Pelodiscus sinensis: one gene and its partners. The protein of the gene in region 4 purifies or fractionates together with the protein of the main gene of each other region. This does not show direct contact. Links are inferred from orthologs where the notes say so. Each region holds a gene or a part of one and is shown on either strand. Other genes may lie near its edges. The genes, in order: ANKRD28, ANKRD52, ERCC6L and PLK1.

The links.
Region 1: the proteins of PLK1 (region 4) and ANKRD28 purify together in Homo sapiens (affinity purification with mass spectrometry; 6 studies listed by BioGRID and IntAct, with this or other methods). This does not show direct contact. The link is inferred for Pelodiscus sinensis from reciprocal best matches to the Homo sapiens genes PLK1 and ANKRD28.
Region 2: the proteins of PLK1 (region 4) and ANKRD52 purify together in Homo sapiens (affinity purification with mass spectrometry; 3 studies listed by BioGRID and IntAct, with this or other methods). This does not show direct contact. The link is inferred for Pelodiscus sinensis from reciprocal best matches to the Homo sapiens genes PLK1 and ANKRD52.
Region 3: the proteins of PLK1 (region 4) and ERCC6L purify together in Homo sapiens (affinity purification with mass spectrometry; 9 studies listed by BioGRID and IntAct, counting the BioPlex papers as one, with this or other methods). This does not show direct contact. The link is inferred for Pelodiscus sinensis from reciprocal best matches to the Homo sapiens genes PLK1 and ERCC6L.

Annotation. Positions count from the first base shown.
Region 1 is NC_134712.1:194,231,218-194,239,082, forward strand, and holds the start of ANKRD28 (serine/threonine-protein phosphatase 6 regulatory ankyrin repeat subunit A), read left to right. Parts: upstream 1-4,849; 5' UTR 4,850-6,025; exon of another isoform or gene 6,026-6,478; 5' UTR 6,479-6,528; coding exon 6,529-6,645; intron 6,646-7,785; coding exon 7,786-7,865. UniProt on the Homo sapiens protein: Regulatory subunit of protein phosphatase 6 (PP6) that may be involved in the recognition of phosphoprotein substrates. Involved in the PP6-mediated dephosphorylation of NFKBIE opposing its degradation in response to TNF-alpha.
Region 2 is NC_134729.1:3,913,261-3,920,201, forward strand, and holds the start of ANKRD52 (serine/threonine-protein phosphatase 6 regulatory ankyrin repeat subunit C), read left to right. Parts: upstream 1-3,934; 5' UTR 3,935-4,058; coding exon 4,059-4,085; intron 4,086-6,941. UniProt on the Homo sapiens protein: Putative regulatory subunit of protein phosphatase 6 (PP6) that may be involved in the recognition of phosphoprotein substrates.
Region 3 is NC_134723.1:1,974,562-1,982,268, reverse strand, and holds the start of ERCC6L (DNA excision repair protein ERCC-6-like), read left to right. Parts: upstream 1-4,694; 5' UTR 4,695-4,779; coding exon 4,780-4,835; intron 4,836-6,918; coding exon 6,919-7,707. UniProt on the Homo sapiens protein: DNA helicase that acts as a tension sensor that associates with catenated DNA which is stretched under tension until it is resolved during anaphase. Functions as ATP-dependent DNA translocase. Can promote Holliday junction branch migration (in vitro).
Region 4 is NC_134726.1:39,869,432-39,876,269, forward strand, and holds the start of PLK1 (serine/threonine-protein kinase PLK1), read left to right. Parts: upstream 1-3,825; 5' UTR 3,826-3,906; coding exon 3,907-4,302; intron 4,303-4,936; coding exon 4,937-5,105; intron 5,106-5,387; coding exon 5,388-5,532; intron 5,533-6,571; coding exon 6,572-6,665; intron 6,666-6,838. Other genes in the region: ras-related protein Rap-2c-like, read left to right, coding at 307-927. UniProt on the Homo sapiens protein: Serine/threonine-protein kinase that performs several important functions throughout M phase of the cell cycle, including the regulation of centrosome maturation and spindle assembly, the removal of cohesins from chromosome arms, the inactivation of anaphase-promoting complex/cyclosome (APC/C) inhibitors, and the regulation of mitotic exit and cytokinesis.

The DNA of each region.
Region 1 (7,865 bases), on a different chromosome or scaffold from region 4:
TCAGTGCATATTGTATCTTGAGAAATTTGCTGACATATGGAAATCTTTATTACATGTAATAATTTTATTGTTGATATTTTCTGTCTCTTCCCTTGTTCTTCAAGAACATCTGTAGGAAATGTACCTGAGCCTTGTTCTTTAAACCTCAGTCTTCCTGCATTCTATGGACAGCACTCACTTCTCCCAAGTAAACAGATTAGTGAAACGCCTAAAGCTTGCCAGAACATAAAATCGTTCCTTTTAGTCAAATGTCCTTAGTTGTGACTTGTTCAAAAATCACCCTGGGCACTCTGGTGCTTCTCTTGCACATGTTGCAGCAAACCTGGCTGCACTTTCTGCAGGCTGCCATCTAGGAGGTCCATCGGGGGGCTGTCAATATCCAGGAGGTGCAGGAGAGCTTCCACTCTGAGGAGCACTGAGAGCCTTCCTGCCATGTCCCACTGGGGGCTTGTGCCTCATTCCTCCCCCATGTCCTTCCATTTACCCCTCCCTAGCCCCCCTTCCTGATGTCAAATAAAATACACGTATTTTCAAAAATTTAAACTCTGTTTACTTAACAAAACTGGGAGGGGGTATGAAATTCTGGGGAGACTAGGGAAAGGAGAGGGGAGGAGAGATGGTGGGAGAGGGGAGGGGAAAACCTAGGAGGAAGGAGCTGGAAGGGGGAAGCTCAAGGGTGGGGGAGGGGGGATCTTGCCAGGCCAACTGTCTTCTAGCACTACAGGGGCTTCGGTGTCCCTGGGGGGATGGGGATGAGGGTGTAAAGGTTGAGGTGGGGGATGTGGAGATTGAGGAGGAGGGAGTAGAGGTTGAGGTGGGAGGAGGAGCAGGCACTGGGGAGGCAGCAGGCGCTGAAGCGACATGAGGCAGCACACTCTGCACCAGGGTCTGCAGATGGGCACAGATGGCATGACCCTGGGCAGGCAGCTCCGGCCAAAACTCCTGTTCATCCTGCAACCACTGCTCCATGGTACAGTGCAGGGCTCGCAGGGCCCTCAGGTGCTGGTCTCGGTACCCCTGCAGTGTTGCAGTGGACCTGCTGAGCCCTCGGGTGCGGGAGGATGTCCCGAGCAGGGTGGTGCACCCTGCACGTGCAGCTGGTGTGGCTGTGGAGAAAGAGGAGAAGTGGTCAGTTCTTCCTGTGGACATAGTGGGTGATTCCCAGCCCCCCTCTGCGAGGTGAGGATGACCGTGCCCTGTACCGTCAGAGCCACTGTGCTTGTACAGAGGCCATAGTCGGAATGTCCGGCTATCCCTGGGAATGGGAGCTGCCCTGAGACCGCACCCATGCCCCTGTGTTGTGTATAGTGCGGCCGAGGTGGGGGGGGAGGTGTCCCCTACCTCTGTGTAGAGGGGGCTTGTGAAGGGAGGGTGTCCTGCTGTGTCCCGCCCTGGGGTCAGGAGCATGTCAGGTCTCTTCACACGTGTGAGGCTATCAGCCATGGCCCCTGTGTGGCACACAGCTGGAGCCACCTACCCATGGTTGGCACAGCACGTGCTCGCACGTACCTAGTTTGCTGCATGATTCGTGGTAAGCAAGGCCCACACGTGATCCTTGGTCGGCCCCCACCCCCCGCCCCGTAAGGGGACAGTGATGGTACTTACATGGTGTGGCCTCCCTGGATGACTCTGGTGACTCTGCTGCTGTGACAACTCGGGGGTCCAGCCAGCGTGGCACCCTCCGTGGTATCTCCTCTGGTCCTGGCTTGCTGCCCCCTAGTGTGGCACACACCATCCCGCCGCCCCATGATACGGTTCAGGGCGTCGAAGTAGGGGCAGGTGTTTGCCCCTGCTGAGGAGCTGCCTTGAGTTGCCCTCACGAATGCCTGCCACAGCTCCTTGATCTACATACACACCTGTTCTTGTGTGCACATGTGGCCTTTGGTGGCCATGGTGCCAGCTATGCATCTGTAGACAGAGGCGTTCCTCCGTCTAGTGCGGAGTTCATGGACATTGGAGGCCTCCCCCCAAATCTCAATGATGTTCATGATCTCTGCACTAGTCCAGGAGGGCGCCTGCCGTCTCTGGCCCCTGGCTGGCTCCTGGGAGCTGAGGGACTGGGCGGGGGACATCTGGCTGGCACTGGCTGCCTGGCTCATTCTCTGGCCACTGGGTGAGGGTCAGTGACTGCTGGCAGGCCTGGCTCTGGCATACAGCGTGGCCAGAGTCTACCCCTTTAAGGGCTCCGGGCCTGGGGTAAAGGAGAAGAGTTTTCCTGGTTTGGCCCAAAGTGTCCACCAGGGGAAACTGGGAAGGGCTGGAGGCCCCCTATTTCGGAATAAGCGTCTACACAGTGCTTATTTCGAAGTGGCTATTTCAGATTTGGTGTTATTCCTCGTAGAATGTGGTTTACCAAATTCAAAATAAGCTCCCCGCTACTTTGATTTTATTTCGAAATATCGGTTTGGCTGTGTAGACGCTAGGAAAGTTAATTCAAAATAATGGCTGTAGTTTCAAATTAACTTTGATGTGTAGACATACCCTCTGAGGCAGCAGTGCGGGGTGCCAAGTGGGAGCCAGTTTAAAAACCGGCTGCCTGCTGCCCTGCGTTGCCCTCTCTAATACAGAGACAGCAGTTCGGGGTGGCAGCAGCCTCTGTTCATGGCGCTCCAAGTTCCCGCAGACAGAGGCTGCTGGGGGGAGGGAAGGGCGCAGGGGAAGGCTGCAGTCTGAGCTCCCCATGGACACAGGCTGTTGCTGGGGAGCTCGGACCCCCTGAGGACAGAGGTTGCTTTGTGACGGCCTCCTCTGTCTCTCCCTCTCCCTTCCCCCTGCTGTTGCCTTTGATAGGTGGCACCATGGAACCAATGCTGGAGAGAGATGGCTTTTAAGCAGCTCCTGCTCTCTTCTCCCACCCTGCCTCTGATACAGGGGCAGTAAGGGGAGGGGGAGGGGAAATGCATGTAGTCAACAAGATTAACTTAGAATCATAGAATCACAGAGCTGGAAGAGACCTCAGAAGGTCATCAAGTCCTGCCCCCTGCTCTAGGCAGAACCAATTCCAACTAAATCAACCCGGCCAGGGCTTTGTCAAGCTGAGACTTAAACACCTCTAGGGATGGAGACTCTACTACTTCCCTAGGTAACCCATTCCAGTGCTTCACCACCCTCCTAGTGAAATAGTTTTTTCTAATATCCAACCTGGACCTCTCCCACCACAACTTGAGGCCATTGCTCCTTGTTCTGCCATCTGTCACTACTGAGAACAGCCTCTCTCCATCCTCTTTGGAACCTCCCTTCAGGAAGTTGAAGGCTGCTATCAAATCCCCCCTCACTCTTCGCTTCTGCAGACTAAACAGACCCAACTCCCTCAGCCTCTCCTCATGAGTCATATGCTCCAGCCCCCTAATCATTTTGGTTGCCCTCCGCTGGACCCTCACCAAAGCCGAATAAAGGGGAATGATGACATCTCTGGATCTGTTGGCAATGCTCCTCTTAATGCAACCTAATATGCCATTAGCCTTCTTGGCTACAAGGGCACACTGTTGACTCATATCCAGCTTCTCATCCACTGTAACCCCCACGTCCTTTTCTGCAGAACTACTACTTAACCGGTTGGTCCCCAGCTTGTAACTATGCTTGAACCCCAGCTTGTAACTATACTTAAACCTAGGCTTATCAGTTAATCATATAGTCGCCTACAGGTTGACCTCCCTAGTGGGCATATGATTTCAAAATGTCTACAGTGCTTTGGAATGACAGTGCTGATGGGAATCAGTTATTCCTACTTAACCTTTTGAAAAAAATACATCTATTAGTATCCAAAGCAGTAAAAACAGATACCTTCTGTGGGTTGTGGTGGTGTGTGGTTGGTGGGTTTTTTTCGTGTGTGGTGGTTTTTTTGTAGTCATGTCCTGAACTGGTACATAGAAGTTCAGAATAAGAACACTTTAATAAAAAAGCATCAGATCAGAACAAAAGAATGAAAGTAATGGGCGGACTAGTAATTCATGTAACCCAGAATCCTGCTTTTGATGGTGACCAATGCCAGATGTTTTAAATGGAGTGAATAGAAGAGAGAAATCACAAAGTGCTCTGTCTCTTGTCATCCAGTCCCTGTATCTGGTGGGCAGTCCTTTGAGACACCCAGAACATGTTTCATCCCTGACCCTTTTGGCTAATAGTCATTGATGGATCTGTCCTCCGGGATCTTACTTAGTTCCTTTTTGAGCCTAGTTATTTTTCGCTTTTGCAATATCTCCCCTGCATTGAGTTCCACAGGTTGGCTCTACATTCATTGTGTGAAATACTTCCTTATGTTTTAAACCTGCTGCTTATTAAGAACCTGGAGTTAGTGTGCACCGGCAGCTGGATTTTCATCAGTTACATGGTTACCCAATTACCTGCTTTTTAACATCCCTATTTTCCAAAGTGCATTACTTTGCAGTTTTCAATATCAAATTTCATCTGTGGGTTTTTTGATCAGTCACCTAGATTATTCAACCTGTTCTACTTTTATAATCTGAATTGTTCAGCAATCAATAGCCATCAAAAAACTTTATATTGTTTATGAACAAAAAACAGTTTGCTTAATGCAGATATATTTCCAACAGTTTATGGCATATGATGCAGTTGTATAATACTCCCACAGACCAGCATGGTTACTGTAAGCAAATTCAAATCAAAATATAAATTCAGCTTGTTGGAAGACTGTGAAATTAATGAGCGCTATGGTATGCTTGGTTTCATTTTTCAGACTTATAGATTTTGTGTGTGTTTAGTAGAAAAAGTAATATTTACATTTATCTTTAAAGTACTGACCATTGAAAGCTAGTTTTATATCTCAGTTTTTAGAGGGGATTTCTGTTTTAAAATACTTTTTTTTGTCTTCAGAGTAAAATAATTGCCTGGTTGTTCTGTACAGTAACATGTGAAAGTAGTTAGAATGTTGGAATTGTTTACTTGCTTAATTGTCAGTCAGCAGAGCCAGTATACCAGATTTTTTTGTGGCTTTTAGTGGAAAATGTTAAACACTCATTCTTTCTTCAATTATAGAATTTTTACGTATGAGCTGGATTAGTCACAAAACTGGCACAAGCATTCTGACTGTGAGGGCTTCCCAAAAGGCACTGTTTGTTTGTTTATTTTTTTGCTAGAGGAAGTTGCATCCAGAGCAGTAGCTTAGTTCTCTGGTAAGTGTAACATGTGAGCATTACCGGCATTTCATCCTGCTGGTCTGCAGTCTGTGCTCTTTAGACTATTGCTCAGTTTGAATGCTGCTTTGAGTGTGAACTGTGCGCTGTTAACGTGTTCTGTAATGACCAATTCAGACAGTGGGATTTCAGAGCTTTACAGGACTATCTACTGAATGAATATACAATCTGAAAATCAGCAACAGAAAACTGATATCTAGTAGTGAAATCCGGTTGGCACAGACATTTGCATGAAGTTGGCTCAGAGAAGATGCACAGAATCTCGTTTTTTTCCACAGTCTGAATGAAGACTATAACGGAAGCTGTATTCACTTGGTGATCAAAAGAAACACTTGAATGATGAACTGCTGTTGCAGGAGAAGTCTAAGGCAGTAATTCGAGCACTTGGAGCTTTTGGTTACTTCAGCAAAACAAGCAAGCTTTCTTCCTTAACAGCATTTCTGCATAGTGGGTCCCTTTTGGAGCAGCTACAGCAACTGCCTGATGGAGGAAAAATGAATGCTCTGCATTACTTGTTTCACTGATGGAGTAAAACTATCTGTTTCTGTCACTTGGAAAATCTGGATTAAACAGGCAATATTATAATTCCAGAAGTCTCATTGTCCTTTTTGGTCTGACTCATCGCATGTAAATGTACTGCAGCTCTGCTGTACATTGCAGAGATTTTTATTACATCGGGAAGAATTATCAACCTTGGAATATCATGTTATGAATCATTGCTGAAAAATAGATGTATTTTTGTGTGAAGTATTCCTGACATTACGGAAAATGAAGCTCCAAAATTGCAGAATAAGAACCTGATACATTTAGTACAGTGATGTTTTATTTTCAATCATCAGAAAGCCTAGTACAGTAAATTGAAGACTGACCTTGTAAGACTCACTGTAGCTGTGATTGTCTCTGTCAGAGCAATTGTTCCTTGTTTCACGCTATACAGAATGGTGTCCTGTCATCTACAACAATGATTTCACTGTGTGGATAAATTTATTCTTTAGCAATATTAACAAAGGCAGATTTTCTGGTAAAAGGACATGCTATAGATATTTATTATATTGAAATTTCTACTATAATCTAGTTAGAACTAAGAATATTTTTAGTAGTTTTTTTCATAAATTTGGTATTGTAGCACAGGCGAAATCTTGTCTTTAAAAAATATAAATGTATGTATATTTAAAACAGTCTTGTTTGAACATCTCAGGGTGTTAAATTAAATGTAGTGGGGGGGGGGGGAAGCATTTTTAAAGTTTTAAAATACCAGCAACAGTGTTAAGTTATGTTTGAGACTATATACTCAGGAGGTAAAAGTCCTTTCTGTGCTGTCTCAGCTGTGGTTACTACAGTGTGGTTCTGAATACAATTTTTTCAAACGGATCGAATGAGTCGAGTGTGTATAGTTGTTTTGGAGGAGGTTGAAGATGATTTTCCCACATTTTCTTCAAAATTACCTCAGGAAATCATATCTGTACGCTCTTCATCTTCCAGAAATGTTTTGGTAAGATATGTTTTCTGTAATAGTGTTGCAAAATCTAGTAATTCTTGTTATAGGTTTTACATGACTAAGCATCGTAGCACCTGGGGTTTTTATATGTTGATTGAATAGTTTTGATTAGTGAAGTTAAAACTACCTATATTAAGCAGCAAGATATTTTAAAATTTAGAAATGGATTTAAAACTTGTAAGGGCTCCTTTATGCATAACAGTATTTTTGAAGGTTAGTTTTATGATGGTACGTTTTTTCCGGAGAGTCTGACAAAAATATTTGCAATAAACATTTTCTCTCCTACCTCTTAGTAGTGTATCTGTTCAGTACCTCTTTAGAAACTGATGTAACCTTTATAATGTGGTAAGCTGTGTGTATTTTGAGAATTGGTATAGTATCTAGGGTATCTTAAGCAATATCAGTTGCACACTAAAATAAAAAGTTATGAAAAGCAGATTATAGATGTAATGTAGTTGTGCATTCACGTCATCACTTATAAAAAGTGTTGAAGAAATTTGGTTTCTTAAACAAAATTATTTTGCTTTCTTGACTAACTTACTGTTTGACTTAGATCATGATATCATATCACAAAAGTTTATGTTGCTGATTAGGAAGTCTAGTTATATTTAGTAATGCCTGTGTGCACACTTGCATGTCACCATATCATTTAAATGTACTCTGTTTCCTTACTCTTATCCAAACACATGAGAACTTCTAATGTTACTAATTAATGTAAAATGAGTATTACATATATTCTGAATAGTATGTAATGTATCCTAGACTGACTAATCTTATTTTGCCACAAGGATTTATTTTAAAGTTTTTTTTAAACGATTAGTTTAAAATCTAAAAATATAGAAAACTATATTTTTAATCCAGTGGTTTACAAGATGGTACAAGATGGTAAAGTGTATTGGAGTGTGGGGGAGAGAAAGACGTACTTTCTGCCAAATTTTGCTGTATTTCAATAGTTAATTTTTAAATTTTGCTACCCAGGATGACATCTTAGTATTCATTTGGTCCATTATGTTGTCATAACTATCCCCTCTCTCCTCCACCTCCCCCCTCCCCCCCCCCCCCCAACATACAGTGGCAGTAATGCATGGGACTGGAATGTTTGTTTTTGAATATTACTACTTTCTTTTGTTTCAGCCACCACTGGTTCAAGCCATATTTAATGGGGACCCTGATGAAGTTCGCGCATTAATATTTAAGAAGGAAGATGTTAACTT
Region 2 (6,941 bases), on a different chromosome or scaffold from region 4:
CCTATGCCTGTGTTGCAGCCATGAACAGAACCCAGGAGTCCTGACTCCTAGATCGATGGGCTAAGCCAGTGCTGGTCAAGATGCATCCCGGGGACCGGAGCCAGCCCACCTAACACTTTGATCCAGCCTGCAGACTGCATCTGGCCAGATTCTATTTATATCCTGCTGCCCGGGCCACTGAATTTCCAGGCAGTGGCTCAGGCAGCAGGATTGTATTTAAAGGGCTCACGACTGCCAGTCGTGGTGCTTCCCCAGCAGGGGCTGGAGCTGTGAGCCCTTTAAATCGCCACAGCAACCCAGCACAGGGCAGCCAGCTCTTTAATTCAAAGCTTCCAGCCCCAGACAACTCTGGAGGGAGGCTAGCCCCATGCTCTGCCCCTTCCACTCCAGGCCCTGCCGGCCCATGACCACCTACCAAAATTCATTAAGTGGCCCCCTTGCAAAAATTATTGCCCACCTCTGGGCTAAGCAATATATCCTGGGACTGATTAGCAGTTAGTGTCTAAACAGTTCCAGATGTCCTTCTATTTTCATTCTCACCACCATTCCCTTTTGACCTTGGAATCTATGAATCATCTAATTCCATCTTCTTTTGGGGAAGCCAGTTACCGAATGTTGCTCAAACCCCAGCTATCAGAGAATTGGACTAGGAATCCCCTCCTTTTGCTTCCTTTGTGGGCAAAGAGAGAAGAAAAAGAGAGGCTACACTACAAATGACTGGAGTAGTCCTCCAGATGCACCAGGCTGCTGATCTTGTGATGCCAGGGAAGGTTTAGTCCGACTGCTTCCTCCTTCGGGGAAATATGTCACTGGTGAAAATGTCAACAGCTGCTCTTCATGGCTTTTCAGTGCTATGATTTCACCTTGATTTCACTGGTAGGTAACACTTGGCTAATGGTCCAAAACCATGATAAAAATAGCCCAGCTACAGTATCAACAGTACAAACAGCTTCCCGGCTCCTCCTCTGAGCTCAGTTCAACCGGAGATCAAAAGTAGAGCCCCAAGTGGTGCTGCCCCACCAGCCCCCCAGACTATGTCCCCACCACGCTCCATGGCAGTCAATGTAAATATGTCTGTGGATGTTGTTTCAAAACACAGAGGCAGCTATTCAAAGCGGCGCCCTCAAATAGCGACAGAGAGGGCAATTAGAAACGCCTTGCCACAGCAGAAAATGGTTATTCAGCTCCTCTGGTTGCACCGATCACTTGTTTCTTTAAACAGGACTTTTTCTTTGAGGCGCTCCCAAAACTTGCCCCAACAAGCACCAGGGTGGCAGCTTTTGGAAGCTCTCCTGAACTGTAGCTGCCTAGTAGAGACTACAGGTCCCTACATCTACAAGGCCCGCTGAAATGTCCCAGGATCAATTGGTAAAGATTTGTGAGCCACTTTTGGGGCCTTTTGTCTGGCAGGTTTCACTTGCCTATGAGGTCGCTATTAGAGTCATTCAGCAATGGTTATCTGGGGTCCACAGAGCACCACTTTGTTGTTATGATTTGTTACTTGTTAAGCAAAGACAATATGCTAGGTGCTCTGGTATAGGGATGTGAAGAATAGTTGACTAGTCCTTCCCCATCCTCCTTGCTGCCTCTATCTAGCCAAACCTGGCAGCCTTGGGACAAAGGAAGGATAAGGGGGGCCCAAAATGTAGGGAGGTCAGAGGCAGCAAAGAAGAGGGGGTACTTCAAAGCAGCAGCACCTCTTGAAGCCTGGTGCCAGGCTCCACACAGCACTGCCCCTTTGAAACACCACATGCAGCCTGGGGCCAGCTGCAGTGTCCCCAGGCTGCATGCAGAGTTTCAAAGGGGCAGCACCACATGGAACCCAGGATCAACTGGGGACTCCCCTGACGATCCTGGGCTCTGTGCAGCGCTGCCATGTTAAAACACCATGGGGAGCCCAGTGTCAGGCAGCACTGCATGGAGCCCAGGATCAAGCCCAGCCGACCCCAGGCTCCACATGGCACCTTTGCCTTTGAAGTGTAGCAACAACCCTAGGGCATCGATTAGTCAATATTTAACATCCTTATCCTTACTCTGGTATCAAAACAATCCTTGGTCTGAAGAACCTACAACCTACAATATAACATCCCAATCCTGAAAACATCTACTACCAAGCGCAATGCGTACTTCCATAAATAGATCCTTTGAATTCATAGATGGAAGCATTTACACCTGGGAGTGAGTTTTAAAGGATCAGGACCTAAAAGACTGGCACAGAAATGAGAACTGTTTAATAGTTAATTTCTTGTGTACATGGTGAAACCAGGAGATTTTAGGAAGGCACCTGAAGAAAGAGATCTGAATTCTGCACTACACAGTCATGACGGTCTCTTCTGGCCTTGACGTCTATGAGAGTCACTTCACTGGGCACCCCTCTGTTTCAGCTTCCTAAAATCAGAGAGTCAAGTCCATGTAAAACTCGGACCTCCTGATTTCCAGATGAGAGGGATAGCCACAAAGGACCAAACTTTCCACTCTGAGGTCCGGTCTCTACTCGACAATATGATTAGTATAGCTACATTTGTTAGGAGCGTAAAAAAAATCATACCCCAACCGATAGGCCTGGATTGGCAAAAGATCTAGTGTAGACACAGTTTTAGCGGCAACAAAAATATTTGGCAAGTCTTAACGATTCCATTGGGCGAACAGAATGAAAAACCGTTTTGCTGGAATCGCTGTCTCCACTAGGGGGATTACCATTGTGTCCGTACCAGCAAACCCTTTGTAAACAAGGCCTGAGAGGCAGCTTGGTCTGTGCTAGGAGTGTTCTCTGGAAAACGTGCACTTGTGCGGCTGCTTAGGAGAAATTCCAATGTTACCCAGCTGATTAGTAGAGCGCCCATAGCTAGACTTTTTGTTGCTACTGGTGGTGCACATCCCTCAGTGCACATCAAAAAATTATTCCACACAGGGTGGGAAAAAATCCACACATGGATGGAAAAGATTAGAGGTAATCTTTTATTGTGAATACTAGATACTTTTTATTGTGAATACTAGATACAAGTCAGTGGATTCTCAGATAGAAGTGCAAAGAATGAATGTAATAATTTGATCAGCTTTTAATTCTTATTTATTACAGGGGCTACCAACCCATCCCACTTGGAAGCCATCAGGAAATGGTGGTAGATCCCTGTGGTTATAGCAATTGACCAGACGTGTAGGTAGGGCTGTTCCTCACCTCTTGCCACAGGCTTTGGGGGGACACTGAGGCACCTAACTTGCCCAAGTTTCTCTATTGTTTTGCTCACCCGTCTCAGCTGAGACCCAACCATGTGGGGTGGATGGACTGGGTTTGAGGGAAGCTCACAGGCCCACGTGCAAAATGGACTTACCTGGATTGCCCCTGTTGAGGCGATGGCAAAGTTCAGGAGAAGTGATGCACCCCAGGGCAAAAAGGGGGTGCCAGGTTGTCCAGGGGGTCCAGGCTGCAGGGTCCAGGCACTGCTGGCAGGGGTGGCCCTAAGTGACCCTCCTCTGTCAGAGAGGATCTCTTTGAGGCCCTGGCACCTAGCCCAGCACCTCTTGGGCCCCAGATCCACTGCAGAGCTCCATGGGTCCCAGGTCACCCCCCCTGGAGACTCACACATCTCGCCCCCCCCCCCCCGGGATCCATGGGGCCTGGCCCCCCCTCTCGGGGATCCATGGGAGCCGGCCCCCCCTCAGGGATCCATGGGGCCTGCCCCCCCCCCTCCGGGATCCATGGGGCATGGCCCCCCCCTCCGGGATCCATGGGAGCCGGCCCCCCCCTCTCAGGGATCCATGGGAGCCGGCCCCCCCCTCTCAGGGATCCATGGGGCCCGCCCCCCCCTTCTCGGGGATCCATGGGGCCGGCCCCCCCCCCGGGGATCCATGGGGCCTGGCCCCCCCCTCTCGGGGATCCATGGGACCTGCCCCCCCCCCCCGGCTCCAGGGCCCCGCCCCGCGCGGGCGGGCTGGCCGCGGGCCGGCAGGGGTCGCTGCGCTCGGGCCCGGTGGGCGGGCTCAGTCCCTCCCCGCCCCGCAGCCGGAGCCGCCGCGGCCGGAGCCTGATGCCGGGAGCTCGGCGCTGAGGCCCGGAGATGGGGATCCTCAGCATCGCGGACCAGGTACCCCCCCCCCGGCCGCGCGGCCTGGCCCCCCCCCCCCCCCGCCGGGCGCCGCCCCAAGGCCCGGCCCCGCCGCGCGCTGCCTCCTTCCCGCCCTCGGGCCCGGCCCCCCCGCCCGGCCCCCGGGCCCCCCCGCCAGTCCCTGGGTCTCCCCGCCCCCCTGCAACCCCCGCTCCCCATCAGGTCTCCCCGGGCCCCCCCCGCCCTCCGGTCTCGTCGCCTTCCTGCCCCCCCCCGCCGGGTCCCCCCACCCGGCCTCCGTGCCCACCCCGCTCCGCCCCCCTGCAACCCTCGCCCCCCATCGGGTCCCCCCGCCCCCCCGCCTGACCCCCGGGCCCCCTCGCCCCCCCTCGCCTGACCCCCGGGCCCCCTCGCCCCCCGGTTCCCCCGCCTCCCCCGCCGGGTCCCCCCGCCTGACCCCCGGGTCTCCCCGCCCGGCCCCCGGCCTCCGTGCCCCCCCCCGCTCCACCCCCCGGGTCCCCTCGCCCGCCCCCCGCCGGTCCCTGGGTCCCCCCGGCCTCCCTGCCCCCCCGCCTGACCCCCGGGTCTTCCCGCCCCCCCCCCCCGCCTGCCCTCTCTTCCTGATCCCCGGGTCCCTCTGGCCTCTCTGCCCCCCCGCCCCCCCAGTCTCTGCCCCCCTCGGCTTCTCTGCCCCTCCCCGTCTGACCCCCGGGTCCCCACCCACCCCCCGGCCTCTCTGCTCCCGCCATCCACTCCTCGCCCCTCCTCCCGCCTGCCCCCAGGACCCCCCTCTGCCCCGCTTCCGTCCCTCCCCCATCTTTTGCTCCTTGCCGACCTGCTGCCCCATTTCCCCGCACCAGCTCCGCCCCGCTGGGCCTGCCTGCATCTCCCCCCCCCATCGGTGTCTCCCCATCTTCTCCCTGCCACCTGGCCCTCCTGTGCCCATCTCCTTCCTGACCCCGTCTCCACCAGCCCCCCCACATCCAACCTTTTTAACCCGCAACCTCCCCAAAAAATGTCCTGGACAGGATTTGAGTCTCCCCGCCTTTATTCCTGCCTGCTCCCTCTGCACCCCACTCTCCCCTTCTTTCAGCCTCCCTCTGGAGAGAGGGGGGGTTGATTTGGCATCATCCACAGTGGGCACCCCACTTTCACAAGTTAAAGGGCAATTCATCTCACCCCCCACACACTTGTGTTATTTGGGGAGTGGGGTAGCATGCCCTGCCGTTTCCCTGCGTGCTGGCAGGCATTTTGCATGTCCCCTGTTGTCTGGGGTGGGGATGTGTGATTCAGCATCCCTACAAACACGGGTCTTGAGCCCCATTTTCCTTGGGGGCAGATGTGAGGCCTGTTTGCACACCACTTGGCTTGTGGGACAACACCCAGCTCAGCAGGGCTGCCTGATCTCAGTAGGTACCCCCACTCCCCAAAAGGGGTGTGTGTGTGTGTGAGGAAGAGCGACTGTTGCGGCTTCCATCACCACGCACCATTTCCTTTAGAAATAGGGATGTTAAAATGGTTAACCGGTTAAATGCTAGCGCTTCACCGGTGAACCATTTTAACTTGGAGTCTGGCCCTGCAGCGGCTATGGGGCCCAGCCGGCTGGTCTCTCTGCTATGGGGGCTGCTTTAGCCACCCCTGGGGGTCACCAGCAAGGGTGGATCAGCTGGTTAACATGTAAGCATATCAGAAAGCCTCATGCTTACCAGTTCACTGTGTCACAGCCCTTCTTAAAAAGGTCAGGTTTCAACCATCTCTGCTTTTGCAAGAAGCGGGACTTTTATTTCCCTCTCCCTGCAGTGTATATACTTCATCTTCCTAAGGCAGGATATGTTGATGCATCATTGTTCTTTGCTTCTCTCCTGGCTTGTCCTCCAATCCCCCTCCCCTGGCCTACCAACATCTAATCTTTACCCCCTGATTTGATGTGACAGGTTTGTTTTTGAGAGCCAGGCTTCTGACTCTTTGAAGCCAAATATTTACCCCTCCCTTGGTCCCTTGCTGTTGCAATCTCACTGATAGGCCAGGTTTTTAAAGCCTCACGTGTCAGGGAGAGAAGGAAAAGGGGAGCTGACCTAAGATTTAAATAGAATTTTTTTTTTTGGGTAACCAAAACATGCAGCTTCCCTTGTGAATGGTAGGTGGGTGTGTCCGTCCCAGCATTGCCGGCAAGCGCCACTGAGGTCTGTGCAGGGCATAATTATCGGCTGTGCATCCTTTTTTGTTTTTGAAATGCCTCATGCTGGTACTAAGTCCGCTGCATTCCACGCAAATGACTCGCTCCTTCTCTCTGATCCCCCCCACCTGTAGCTGCTTTCATGCCTGCGTTTGGACGGAGGGGATGAGCGGGAAGCTGGGGAGCAGGGGCGGGAAGTCTGCCCTGGAAATGCAAGTTCCAGGTTCCGGCTACTGAGCAGATGCCGTGGGGGCTTGTGGTCTCCAGTGCTTGGTGCAGAGAGCTGACTTACTGGGCTGCCTTGAGCCGAGGGTGTTTGTTTTCAGTCCTGGCCCCAGCGCACTTGTTTCTGTACAGACGGAAAGGCCCAGGATAAACAATGGCGGGTAGTCTGGGCCTGGCAGAGAGGTGCAGGGTAGCTGCCAAAGCGTGGGGCTGCCTCTGCTGATGCAGGTGTGTTATGCCTGTGCCGTCAGAACCAAAGATGCCAGTTGGGATTCTGACTTCCCCTGAAGTCCATTGTCCAGGGTACAGCTCCTGTTAACTGTGTGGTCTCAGCCTCCAGGAGCAGAGAGGTGGGGACGGAGGGTGATGCTAGGGACAGACCTGGAGTCCGAGTGCATAAATAACTGTTTGTCCTTCAAGATCCATTTTAGGCCACCAGGAAGTTCAGTGTCGGCATTTTCTGGCTAAAGCCAAGTCTTACGGCAACTAAAGCT
Region 3 (7,707 bases), on a different chromosome or scaffold from region 4:
TGCTAGTTCGAACTAGTTTTTAGTTCTAGATGCGTTAGTTCGAACTAGCTTAGTTCGAATTAACTAATTCGAACTAAGTTAATTCGAACTAGCGCTGTAGTGTAGACATACCCTCAGTGTTCTTTCAGAAATTCAAGCGGCCAGGGTAGACAGCTGGCAAGTTTTCCGCTAAAGCAGGTGCTTTGGCGGAAAAACTTGCCAGTCTAGACACAGCCATCGGGTAAATTAGAGTAAATGTCAGCACAGAACACTGAGAGCCAGGACTGGTGGCTGTAAACAAACTTTCTGGGACCACTGGAAACTTGGCCACACTCAGGATAAGTGGACATCCAGCTTTAGGCTTTCCAATATGGCTACAGAAAAAGTCCATTTCCTTACAACGTGGGCTCAGCTGTTCAAACTCCAGACAGCCCTGGTGATGACTCGTGGAAATATTTGCAGTGATTACGGAATAGAAACACTGCTATGCGCTACCCAGAGAGTTCTGACACATTATTCCCAGGTTCAGTCATAAAATCATCTCTGTGTTATTTAAATAAGTATGAAGGAGTGAAACTAGTTGTTGTCATTCCAGGTTCCTGGAAACACCAATCCCCAACAGTGTTTTTTATTATATAAGAACATGTAAAAGGTGAAAGAGTGGGCAGGTCGGGGCTTAGCAACCACTCATCCAGAGCTCCACTCCACTCTCTGTGGGTGCTGCTTTTCCTGCTGCTGCCTCAGCTCCTGCTCCCTGAATTTCCTTTCCTTAAGCTGCTGCCTCTCTTTCTGCAGCCAGGACTTCTCCGGGTCTTTGGGCCTGTGCTCAGAGAGTGCTGTGCTGGGAATAAGCGGCAGATTTGTAATATCTATTGGAACAGCTTCCTGAGGAATTCTCCAGGCAACTGGAATTTGTACTTCGAGTGACTATCTTTCCCAAACACGTACTCTAAAACAGCCTCTAGTTGTGGGATGGGGGCCGACAGAGGGATTTTCTATGTGTTATGTAAAAGGACAAACTAGATGACTACAGTGGTCCCTCCTGGAATTAAAAATAATCAGCTATCTTGGTCTGTTTCTCTAGCAATTTTGTAATTAGCCAAAAACCTCAAAGTGCCCCTGCAACAAACAAACAAACAAACAAACAAACTACAAAGTTTTGCCGTTGGCTTCTGCCCTGATCCACAAGAGTTTACTCTCTTCCAAACCACCATTTGATTGTTTGGGACCCTCCCCACGCCAGCTTTGGATAGTTGTGCTAGGCAACACTGTCTTGGACACTGCTCAGCTCTTAGGCTGTGTCCAGACTCCATGCCTCCTTCGACGGAGGCATGTAGATTAGCCACATCGGAAGAGGGAAATGAAGCCGCGATTAAAATAATCGCGGCTTCATTTAAATTTAAATGGCTGCCCCGATCTGCCGATCAGCTGTTTGTCGGCAGATCGGGAGAGTCTGGACGCGATGCCCCGACAAAGAAGCCTTTCTTCATCGACACAGGTAAACCTGGTTTCACGAGGCTTACCTGTGTCGATGAAGAAAGGCTTCTTTGTCGGGGCATCGCGTCCAGACTCTCCCGATCTGCCGACAAACAGCTGATCGGCAGATCGGGGCAGCCATTTAAATTTAAATGAAGCCGCGATTATTTTAATCGCGGCTTCATTTCCCTCTTCCGATGTGGCTAATCTACATGCCTCCGTCGAAGGAGGCATGTAGTCTAGACACACCCTTAGTCTCAGTGGCACGGTCAGTGCTACTGCTGGTCCCCGGCTGAGTGTGCATTCCGGATGGAGCTGCATCCTGCATGTCGAGGGATCCCAATGAGAGTTACACAGCACATTGTCTTAGGAAGATAAGCTGGAGGGAAGCCCCATGGTGTGACAGATGGCGATGTGCTGGCAGAAGTGGACAGTCAGAGGGGCTGGCCTGAAATAAATCATCCACATGCCATTGGGATGAGGGGGACAATTCATGGTCACTGGTTTGTGCCAGTGAGGAAGTCATGGCTTGGTGGAACTGTGAGATCACAAGAAGTTCTCCCTTCCCATGTCCCCCTCGAGCCCCTGCCCCCAGTTGCTTATTAGTGGCCAGCAGGACACTAAGGTCGCAGATACTCAGTAGATAGGTTTGCCCTTGCTGGAGAAGCAGAGCAGTTGTAACTGGCCGTGAATTGTCACTGAACCCTGAAGCCATATTGCACTACTCCACGTCACTGGCTTGTGATCACCTCGCCATTCACACCATGCTGGTGAGAAATGGCAGTGCAGTCCACTGCAGACTGACTCAGGCCCATGAGGGGAGTGATCCAAGAGAGCCCTGACAGGCAGCTTACTCACAAAACAAGGTTCTTCCACAGCGACCAGTCACCAAACAACCACAGGGTGTGTCTAGCCTGCTGCCGCGTTCTGTCAACAGTAAATCGAAAGAACGTGGCAGTTTTTTCTACCGTGGAAAACCTCGTTTTATGAGGAAGAACACCTTTTTTCAAAAGTGCTCTTTGTAGTCTAGACGCTGAAAGTACTGGTTGTAGTCTGGGCGCTCTTTTTCGAAAGAGGCTTTTTCGAAAGTAGCTTCTGAAAAAACCTCTTTCGAAAGAGGCTTGCAGTCTAGATGTAGCCCCAATGGGGCTGTGTTAGTGACTGCAGATGTACAAACGGAGGAGATAGCTCTGGCACCGAGAGCACGGGCCAGAGCACGGCAGCTAGGTGCCTGCTGATGCTACACTGATCCGAGACAGGGACACACACGCACGCACGTGCGCCTCACCACCAGGCCCTGAAGTTTTTCACTGTCCTGCTGGAAATGTGACAACAGTTGTGGACAGTTAGGTGTTCATGTTGCCAGAGTGAGGGGTTGATAGTGTGGACTAGAGCCAGTGGGATGTACCACCAGAGATGCTGCTCCGTGCACCTGAATCTTGGCCCCATAGCAGCCCTGTAAGTGCAGAGTTGGGCTCCCAAAAAAACTCTACCCTGCCCTCTGTCCTGGGATACAAGCAGTGTGTATGTCCTCCAAACTGCTGTCAGGGCAAATGCTCTCGGCTGTGTCTAGACTGGCAAGATTTAAACTTGCCAGCTGTCTACACTGGCCGCTTGAATTTCCACAAGAACACTGACTTCCTACTGTCTGAAATCAGTGCTTCTTGCGGAAATACTATGCTGCTCCCGTTCGGGCAAAAGTCTTTTTGCACAAAGCTTTTGCGCAAAAGGGCCAGTGTAGACAGCTCAGATTTGTTTTGCGCAAAAAAGCCCCAATCGCGAAAATGGCAATTGGGGCTTTTGTGTGGAAAAGCGCGTCTAGATTGGCCATGGACGCTTTTCCGCAAAAAGTGCTTTTGCGGAAAAGCATCAGTGCCAATCTAGACGCTCTTTTTCGCAAATGCTTTTAACAGAAAACTTTTCCGTTAAAAGCATTTGCGGAAAATCGTTCCAATCTAGACGTAGCCCTCCAGAGCCAAGCACTCCCTGCTGTGTCCATTTTGGCCCTGGGACATGATGTACCAGGCCTCCTCTGCCCCTGCTGGAAGCCTCACTGCCCTGACACTCCCACCCAAAGATATTCCCAGGGAGGGTTCGCTTTCGCTGGGCCTGTGTGTTTCCTCAGTAGCACAATGGATGTGACCAGATGCATCTTTCCTGAGAACATCTCAGAGAAACTGCGGGAGGCATTGGCATATTCTGGCAAAACGTTAGTGGATCTGTGTGTTGAGAACAATGTGTGTGGGTGGGGAGGTACAGCAAAGGCGAATAATAGGCCTCCAGCCTGCATCTTCTGATGAGTTTGCTGCGTCTCTGAGAGAGGGTACATGGGTCACAGAATTGGATGATTTCCCTTTGGGTGACTGAGACTGCGAATCCCTAAAGCAGGATCCTACCTGTCTGTGCGGCCAGACACAGGCCAAGGATCCCAGCAGGGCTTTAGGGGAGAATCAGCTGGGAAGCTGAGCAGTAAATGAGCCCAAGGATGAGTGTAACAGGTGTGGAGAGGGCTCATTGCGTGGGGGGGATTATTTAAATGCCACACATGGCAGCCTAGCCCCTTCCTCTCAGGTACAGTCAGCTGCTTCCTTCCCCTGCCCAGGCGGTGACCCTGCTTCCCACCCTGTCCCTATGCCCTCTGCTCCCACCAGTGCACCCCTCCCCCCCCCCCCACTACTGCCAGGCTCTCCCCCCCCCCCACTACCGCCAGGCTCTCCCCCCCCCACTACTGCCAGGCTCTCCCCCCCCCCACTACCGCCAGGCTCTCCCCCCCCCCACTACTGCCAGGCTCTCCCCCCCCCACTACTGCCATACTCTCTCCTGCCCCCATTGGCCCTGTGCTCTCCCCCCCCCCCCACTACCACCAGGCTCTCCCCACCCCCATTGGCCCCGTGCTCCCCCCCCCCCACTACTGCCATGCTCCCCCCTGCCCCCATTGGCCCCGTGCTCCCCCCCCCCACTACCGCCATGCTCTCCCCTGCCCCCATTGGCCCCGTGCTCCCCCCCCCACTACTGCCATGCTCTCCCCTGCCCCCATTGGCCCCGTGCTCCCCCCCCCCACTACCGCCATGCTCTCCCCTGCCCCCATTGGCCCCGTGCTCCCCCCCCCCCACTACCGCCATGCTCTCCCCTGCCCCCATTGGCCCCGTGCTCTCTCCTCCCATCCCGTGACTCTTCCGCCTTGCCGCAGCTGAGAAGCGCCGATTGGCTGATGGGCCCGGCTCTCATTTGCATGCTGCGGGTGATAGGCTGAGGGGCGGCCCCGCGCGGGGCAGGTCGGGAAGGCGGCGGGCATTTCAAGCGGCGGCCGGCGGGCAGCGCGCTATGGCGCAGTTAGAGAGCGGGCCCCCGCAGCGCGCCATGGCGGGGCGCTACGCCGGGTGAGGGGGGGCTCTGCTCCGCGGGGGGGGCCTCTACGCCGGGTGAGGGGGGGCTCTGCTCCGCGGGGGGGGCCTCTACGCCGGGTGAGGGGGGCTCTGCTCCGCGGGGGGGGCCTCTACGCCGGGTGAGGGGGGGCTCTGCTCCGCGGGGGGGGGCCCTCTACGCCGGGTGAGGGGGGGCTCTGCTCCGCGGGGGGGGGGCCCTCTACGCCGGGTGAGGGGGGGCTCTGCTCCGCGGGGGGGGGGCCCTCTACGCCGGGTGAGGGGGGGCTCTGCTCCGCGGGGGGGGGGGCCTCTACGCCTGGTGAGGGGGGGCTCTACTCCGTGCGGGGGGGCCCTCTACGCCGGGTGAGGGGGGGCTCTGCTCCGCGGGGGGGGCCTCTACGCCGGGTGAGGGGGGGCTCTGCTCCGCGGGGGGGCCTCTACGCCGGGTGAGGGGGGGCTCTGCTCCGCGGGGGGGGCCTCTACGCCGGGTGAGGGGGGGCTCTGCTCCGCGGGGGGGTTCGGGGGGGCTCTGCTCCGCGGGGGGGTTCGGGGGGGGCTCTACGCCGGGTGAGGGGGGGCTCTGCTCCGCGCGGGGGTTCGGGGGGGCTCTACGCCGGGTGAGGGGGGGCTCTGCTCCGCGGGGGGGCCTCTACGCCGGGTGAGGGGGGGCTCTGCTCCGCGGGGGGGGCCTCTACGCCGGGTGAGGGGGGGGCTCTACGCCGGGTGAGGGGGGGCTCTGCTCCGCGGGGGGGTTCGGGGGGGGCTCTACGCCGGGTGAGGGGGGGCTCTGCTCCGCGGGGGAGTTCGGGGGGGCTCTACGCTGGGTGAGGGGGGGCTCTGCTCCGCGCGGGGGTTCGGGGGGGGGGCTCTACGCCGGGTGAGGGGGGGCTCTGCTCCGCGCGGGGGTTCGGGGGGGCTCTACGCCGGGTGAGGGGGGGCTCTGCTCCGCGGGGGAGTTCGGGGGGGCTCTATGCCGGGTGAGGGGGGCTCTGCTCCGCAGGGGGGTTGGGGGGGCCTCTACACCGGGTGAGGGGGGCTCTGCTCCGCGGGGGGGTTGGGGGGGCCTCTACGCCGGGTGAGGGGGGCTCTGCTCCGTGGGGGGGTTGGGGGGGCCTCTACGCCGGGTGAGGGGGGGGCTCTGCTCCGCGGGGGGGTTCGAGGGGGGGCCTCTACGCCGGGTGAGGGGGGGGCTCTGCTCCGCGGGGGGGGTTCGAGGGGGGGCCTCTACGCGGGGGGGCTCGAGGCGGGGGGGCCTCTACGCCGGGGGAGGGGGGGGGGGTCTCTATGCCGGGGGAGGCCGGGATTCTACGGGGGGGGCTCTGTCGCCTTCTTCCCATTGGACAGGAGGGAAACTGAGGCACGCAGCTGCCACCACCAGAGCCTGGCACGGTGCCCAGTGTCCCTCGCTGCCCCCTGCCCCGGGCTGCGCATGTGGCTCCTAGGGCCCCCCCCCGAGCCAGGCCAGGCCACTTGACTGTGCAGCCCAAAGCCCAGCCCCTTGCGCACACCCTGGGACCCAGTGGGGGTGACCTGGTGGTTGCTGGGTGTGTGTGTGTAAAACACCACCACTACCACCGTTTTTCTTACAGCTGACCCATTCTGTCAGTCGCTCTCCCAGCCAACCCCCCCATGTGAGCTGAAATGCAGGAAATGACAAATTTCAACATCAAATCCAGAAAATGAATAGATAAAATACACCTCTCCTGTGTGGGAACGGAAGAGGAAAACGGGGGGGGGGGGGGGAAGGGCTCTATCGTTAGGGTAACCCTCAAGCTGTTCTTGACCCTGTGTGCTGATCTCTATCTGTGGGCGAGAATTTGCCAGAATGTCAACTTTAAGAAGAACGGTTTTGTTTTTTTAGACATGTCCCCAGCAACCTCTGGGTGAAGTGCCCCCAAATTTGGATCACTGCCTGTATCCTGTGTCCCAACACTAAATTTCAAGGCAATCTAATTACCTGTATAGAGTTTAAAGCAACTAAAACAGTCAAGCTTCTAAACAGAAAGCTGGTTTTTCTCTTAATTATGGCAGAGCTGTTATATGTTGTTTTTAGAAGTTAATATATTTAAACATTGCTGCTTTGTCCTGTGTTCTATAGGTATGTGGCTCAGGCAAAAGAAGAGGCCAGAAAGGGAAATCTGGAAGAGTCGCTTCAATTCTTCAAACTTGCAAATGAAATTGATCCCAGTGAAAAGCTGAGGAACAGAATCAAAAGGCTTGAGGAAACACTTGCAGAGCTGGCACTTGCCACAGAGGAGGAGGATGGGTTTGTGGATGTGTGTAACAGTGGTCTTACCATCTATGGAGAGATGCACAACAAACTTTTTGAACATCAGAGAGAAGGCGTGGCCTTCTTATACAGCCTCTACCGCGATGGAAGGCAGGGGGGCATACTGGCAGATGACATGGGTTTGGGAAAGACTATCCAGATCATTGCATTCCTTTCTGGGATGTTTGATGCTGAACTCGTACAGTTTGTACTGCTGGTCATGCCAACCACCCTTGTTAGCAACTGGAGGAGAGAGTTTGCCAAGTGGACTCCAGGACTGAGGGTGAAAGACTTCCATGGCACCAGCAAGACTGAGCGGAACAGAAACCTAGAGAGAGTCCAAAGAAAGACTGGTGTAGTGATCACAACGTATCAAATGGTGATCTATAACTGGCAGCAACTTTCTAGCTTTAATGAACAAGAATTTGTCTGGGACTACATTATTCTTGATGAAGCCCATAAAATTAAGTCTTCCTCTACAAAAACTACTAAATCTATGTATGCTATTCCTGCAAAAAACCGCATCCTCCTCACAGGGACACCAGTCCAAAATAACCTACGTGAGATGTGGTCCTTGTTTGACTTTGCCTGTCAAGGGTCCCTCCTAGGAACAGTGAA
Region 4 (6,838 bases):
CGGTATATGGCCCCCGTCCTCCCTCACTCCCCCGGGCCCCCTGACCCCCCTTCACTCCTCCTGTGTCCCCCTCTCCCCGTGTCCCCCGGTGCCACCCGGCCCCCGCCACTCCCAGGCCCCACCCTCGCCGCTCCGCACCCCTGCCTCTCTCTCCCTGGCGGGGGGGCGGCAGGTGTCGGCCCCGGGCACCTCCCCCTGCGGGCGGATTGGCTGGCGGCCGCACCCCGCGGCGGGCGCTATAAAGCAGCGGGCGCGGGCGGCTCCCGGCACTCCCTGGCGGCGGGCGGCCCGGGGACAGGGCGCTGCATGGCGCCCAGCCTGGCGCCCGAGGCCCGGGTGCGCCTGGTGTTCTTCGGGGCGGCGGGCGTGGGCAAGACGGCCCTGATCCGCCGCTTCCTGCAGGACGCGTTCGAGGCGCGGCACCGGCGCACGGTGGAGGAGCTGCACCTGCTGGAGCTGGAACTGGAGCCGGGCTCGGGGCTGAGCCTCCGCTTGGAGATCCTGGACACGAGCGGCAGCTACAGCTTCCCGGCCATGCGGCGCCTCTGCATCGGCCGCGGCGACGCCTTCGCCCTGGTCTACTCGCTGCAGGAGCCCGACTCCTTCGCCGAGGTGCAGCGGCTGCGGGACGAGATCCTGGAGGCCCGGCGGGGCCCGGTGCCCATCGTGGTGGTGGGGAACAAGAGCGACCTGGCGCCGGGCCAGCCGGACTCGCGCGTGGCCGTCGCGCAGCGGGACTGGGGCTGCACCTGCCTGGAGGCCTCGGCCAAGCAGGGGCGCAACGTGCTCAGCCTCTTCCAGGAGCTGCTGAGCCAGGTCAACCTGCCCGGGCGCCTCAGCCCGGCCCTGCGGCGCCGCCGGCCCCAGCCCTTCGGCAAGGAGCCGCCCCGCCGCGGCGCCAAGAGCCACAGCTGCGCCGTCTGCTAGGGCCCGGGGCCGGGCGGGATCGGGTCCCCGACAGCCGCCTGGCTGGAGCGACGCGTTCCGGAGCGTTCCCCGACGCCAGCGGTCGCTGACGGCCCCAGAAGCCGGGCACGGAGCGGACTCTGCTCCCCCTGTACCGCCGCCTGGACGGGGGTCCGTGCCTGCCTCTCTTGCCCGCCAGCCGCGGCTGGCTCAGGGCGGCTCTCCAGGGTGGGGGCTCCAGGCACCGGGAGGCGGAGAGTTGCGGGAGCAGCGAGCAGGGAGAGCGCACGGACGGTGACCAGCCACTCGCTTCCCGTGTGCTGGGTTCAGAGGGCGGGGGAAGCCTCAAAGCGCAGCCTCCTGGCTCCAGTTAGCTTGGACCCGAGCTCTGGGGCGGTTTCCAGCTGGCATGGTAGGATGAGCTCTCATGCTCCGTGCAGGCCGGTCCCACCTCCGCCATGGCTTCCCCTCCAACAATGTGAGGTCTCAGCAGTCAGCAGCCAGAATCCCTTCCCTGGGACACCTGCCCCTTCTATTCTGTAGGGGCCTGACCTGCAGGGTCCCCTGTGATGCTGGCACCTGGGCGCTGAGCTTCTACTACACAAATCAAGCAGCCCAGCTGCTCCACCTCTGGTCCTGCAGTCAGTCCCACCACCCACCTCCCTCCAAGGAAAGGGCTGTGCCTTTGCCCGTGGGCACAGGCCGGTGAGCTGCAGCTCTGAAGCTGGCCAGGGATCCCACAAGGGACAGAACAGGGCTTAATTTGCAAGGCAGGTGCTGCTGGGGCTCATGCAGTTTCTTCACACCAGGACCGAGCCCAGAGGCACTGGCGATGCAAACAGCCTGGGACGCGGCCCAGGCCTCCATTATGCACTGCAGTGGGGACCGTCCTGGTCAGGGAGCCCCTCTGGGGGAGAAGCCAAATGACCCCCCCTGCAGCGCATGTTTCCCAAAGCAGCATCTCCTGAAGGAGACAAGGGTGGAGTGACAGCACCTCTGAGTGTGGGGGAGCAGGAACCTGTCACTAAAAACAGGCAGACCTGACAGCACGGGGCTGGGTAAGTCCAGCCCATGCTTCTTGCCATGGCTCAGGGGTGATGGTATCTTAGTTAACAGGCTCCCTAGGACTCCCTCATGCTGGACTAGCAGCAGGCTAGAAGTCTCTCCAGCTGTGGTGGGAGGGTGTGGAAAGGAAATAAGGGGGGGGGGGGGATAGCAGGTGTATTGTAGAACCTACCCCCACCCAAACAGTGCTTCATACTGTAATGTGACCCAGATGTGCATGAAGGTACTTGCTTCCTTCTGTAGTTCCATGACCATTCTAGCTCCCTGTAATGAAACCCATGGACCTGTTCCCCACATGATTTAAGTGCCTGGGTCCTGTGGGGGCAGGCAGAGCCCTATTCAGGCTCCAGGAGTGCTGCTATCTAGTCTGCTTCCCATATGCCTAGGATGAGGAACCTTTTCTTGGAGCAGGGGCCACTGACCTACAGAAAAATCAGTCGGGCAGCATGCAAGTGAGAGGCTGAACCGGGGGAGGGAGGAGGAGCACTGAGCCGTGGAGGCCAGACACAGGCAAGCTGCCTAGGAGGCCACTGCAGTGGCAGCGCCAAGCTCAGTGCTATGTGAGGGTTTCTCATGCTACGGAGGGGTAACCTTGGCCTGACTTGGGCCTTCTCAAAACAGAGGGCTCCTATTGCTTGTTGGGCTTATGTGGCTGCCTGGCATTACAGTATGTGACTTTCCCACAGAGAAGTCCCTGACACATCTTGCTCTTGGGGTAAATTCTGCTTGGAATAGGCTTGTTTGGTTACGAGTTTGCTTAATTTCCATTAACTGCACAACTGTCACAAAATAAAAACAAACCTCACACGAGGCGAGTGAGCAAGCAAACTTGTTTTCATGTCAGTCTTACTGGAAACTTCATCTGTATCACCTGGCCCAAATGAATTATTTGCTCCTCCAATGAATTTGTTTGTGCTTGTATCAGATCAGTTTTTAATCCATTTGATTAACATTTGGACCTTTAATGCTTCAACAAACACACCATTAATAGAAGTTGTGGCACCAGGTTAGGTTATTTCATCCATCAGGTCTAATAGCCCCCTTCAACAGAAGCTAATGCCTGGGACTTAAAGAAATGGCGTGGGAGAGTTGTTGAACCAAACTGTAGGTCCCATATATAACAGAAACCACTTCAAGTCAGGTAATGTGCTTCCCCCCAGCACCTATGGCTCAGCAGGCAGAGGGGGAAAAAGAATCATTCAGAAAATGACTTACTGGGATTTGGCTGGTCCCTTGTGGCTGTCAGGCTGTGCCGGGGGCCCTGATGCAAGCGAATGTTTGCTCTTCCCTAGCAGTGACCTGTCCACCGATCAGTGCCTGGGGGTGCCAGTTCCTACACTGCATGAAGCAGCGAGTGCAAAGCCTGGGTCTAGGCCTGCAACACTGAGGAAGCTGTGAAAGTGCAACAGGGGAAGGGGAGGTTGTTCTAGTGGCACATCTGGGAGAGGGTAGCTGGTTGCTGTGCATTGGGCAGCATGGCTGGGGCTAGAGCTACACATGTGGGTAGGGTGGCACATCTGGGGCAGGAGGGGGTGGCTGGGTTACAGTTGCACATCTGGGGCAGAGAGCTGGAGCTAGACCTACATCTCAGGTGTGGGGGGCAGGGACTAGAGCTGCACATCTGGGGCAGGATGGCTGGGGCAAGGATTGCACCTGTGGGGCAGGGGCCTGCACAGCGGGGCGGATGTTGCAGGGCGAGCCCGGATGTTCCGGCGACGCCCCCTGCTCGCGGCTGCCCGCTCGCGGAGCCCGGGGCTGCTGTCCCTTTAAACGGGGCGGGGGGGCTCCCATGGTGCCTAGCGGCGGGCGGCTTGGATTTTAAATCGTAGCAGCCAATGGGGAGCGCGCTGGGCGCGGCTAACGCTCCGGCTCGAGGTTTGAAATTGTTACAGTGTCGCGGCGGCCGGCGGCGAGAGCGGGGCTAAGGGCGGGAGCATGAGCGCGGTGTCCGGGAAGGGGGCGAAGCCGCCGGGGGCGGCCGAGCCCGGGAAGGGGGCCGCGGCCGGGCCCGGGCCCGGGGCGACGGCGGTGGCCAAGGAGATCCCGAAGGTGCTGGTGGATCCCCGCACCCGCCGCAGCTACATGCGCGGGCGCTTCCTGGGCAAGGGCGGCTTCGCCAAGTGCTACGAGATCACGGAGCTGGAGGGCCAGGAGGTGTTCGCCGGCAAGATCGTGCCCAAGTCGCTGCTGGTGAAGCCGCACCAGAAGGAGAAGATGTCCATGGAGATCTCCATCCACCGCAGCCTGGCGCACCGCCACGTGGTGGGCTTCCAGGGCTTCTTCGAGGACAGCGACTTCGTCTTCGTGGTGCTGGAGCTGTGCCGCCGGCGGGTGAGGGGCGGCCGGGGGGGGACGGGACGCGGGGCCGCCGGCGGGTGAGGGGCGGCCGGGGGGGGACGGGACGCGGGGCCGCCGGCGGGTGAGGGGCGGCCGGGGGGGGACGGGACGCGGGGCCGCCGGCGGGTGAGGGGCGGCCGGGGGGGGACGGGACGCGGGGCCGCCGGCGGGTGAGGGGCGGCCGGGGGGGGACGGGACGCGGGGCCGCCGGCGGGGGAGGGGCGGCCGGGGGGGGGGGGACGGGACGCGGGGCGGCCGGGCCCGTTCCCTTCCTGCAGACGGACGTGGGCCCCGTGGGGCTCAGGCCTGTCCTGCGGCGGGGGCGCTGCCGGCCCGGCGGGGGGGCGGGGGGCTCCCGCAGGGGACGGGGCTGGGGGCGGTAGCGGGGCCGCAGCCGGAAACGCTGATACTGTCTCTGCGTTCCACCGTGTCCGAGCGTTCGAAGCGCCTTAAAGGGCCAGTAGCCCCGCGCAGCGGTGCAGGGTGGGGGGTGCTCCCAAGCCTTCCCGACGTTACTCTCCTCAGTGGAGCTAGGACGGGGGGGTGCCCGCCGCAGAGCGTCCCCAGGCAGCAGGGGCAGGCTCTGGGCTGGGGGTGCTCATCACCCTGCCTCTCTCCTGGCCCCCAGTCGCTGTTGGAGCTGCACAAGCGGAGGAAAGCCTTGACCGAGCCGGAAGCGCGCTACTACCTGCGGCAAACCATCCTGGGCTGCCAGTATCTGCACAGCAACCGGGTCATTCACCGGGACCTCAAGCTGGGCAACCTCTTCCTCAACGACGACATGGAGGTGAAAATAGGTACGGACACCTGCAGCACAGAGCGGGTCCGGGAGCCCGCCCAGCCCCCGCCGCTCGCTGCGGATTCCGGGCCTTGTAAAGTCCCGATCCGAGCACATCCCATGCTTTGGATGGGCCGACTCCGTATTGGAGGGATGTAGCCCATAATTCTGCCACTTGCTGCTCACAGGATGAGACCGACTGTCCACGCACCATTGCCTGAGAACTCTGAGCTAAGGAAACCAGTCTCCCTGGTGCCCGGCCTGGCCCTAGGCAAATATTCTTGTACCTAAATCTTCCCAGGTGACTTTGGCTTGGCAACCAAAGTAGAATATGATGGTGAACGTAAGAAGACGCTGTGTGGGACACCAAACTACATCGCCCCCGAGGTGCTGGGCAAGAAGGGACACAGCTTTGAAGTGGACATCTGGTCCATCGGCTGCATTATGTACGTTCCATGACAAATCTTCAGGTTTTTAGTTTGCATGCCCTTAAATTTGGGACTTAGGGCTGCCATGGTCAGTCCGCTAGACTGGGGTCCGGGTTTTAAGTTAATCTTAGCTTGTGAGGAGCCTCTTAAAGGAGACACTATAAAACAAAAGTGATCAGGTCCAGGCCAGAACCTGGATAAGTGCAGACTAAGGTATGTCTGTGAGAATGGCCCAGCTATGGTGGTGTAGCTGAGCCGCTGTGGTGGTATAGTGCAGATACTTTCTACACTGACTTTCTCCCTCGATGGCATTAATCCACCCCTCAGAAGAGAGGTGCATTAGCTACGTCTGTGGAACAAGTCTTCCACTGTCCTAGCTGTGTCTATACAGACACTTTTCACTACCCTGTAGACTTGGCCTAAGGCTTGAATTGCCCTGAGATGTAGCTATGTGCTGGTCTCTAGTGAGAACAATATTTGAAGAGTTCTTGCTAGAACACTGCTAGCTTGGTTCAAATCTATATGGCTGTAAATGGGTCTTAAAGGTTACAATTTAAAAAGTGGTTTGCAAATTAGGCTGCCCTAGCAAGACTCCTAATGGCAGTGACCAAGGGCTAGAGATGGGTGATGAGTCTCAGCTTCCTTCATGACTCGTTTGCTTTGTAATCAGAGCTTGACTATCTCTGGAAAACTCCTCAGATCTGACTATCAGAACAATGTTCCTGTTTGCCTTGACCTGCCAGCTGCTGTGTGTGCACCTACCTGTACCCACAACCACTGGCTTTTGCAGGCTTACTTCTTGTAGTGAAAGTTATTTTGAATCCTGTCCATTTAAAGACCTGATGTCCCGAGTTTCACCGGTTCTCTCTCCCAAGGGTACCAGATTCCAGCTGCCTCCCCTAAGGAGCAGGGAACTGGAGATCTACCTGGCATTTCAAATACAATTGCCTGCTGCCCTGCATCTCCTGGGTGTCTCATCCCCCTGCTGCAAATGATCCTTCATGTGGAAATCGTGTGCTCTCCTTGTGACAGGCTCTTATGTATCTTAAATATGCAGGTACACACTTCTGGTAGGGAAACCACCCTTTGAAACCTCTTGTCTAAAAGAAACCTACATCCGAATTAAGAAGAATGAGTACAACATCCCCAAGGTATGGAGCCTGCTGCAGAGCGGGAGTTAGTCTTGCCAGCCAATAGAGCTAAGACTGCTTGTGCTTAGAGTGCACTTAACTTGGGAGTGAGCCCATTGGACTCACTGGCACTTCTGTTTTTGAGAAAACAAGCATAGAACGGGGTTCCGTGGGAAAGCTGAGTTAATGCTGAA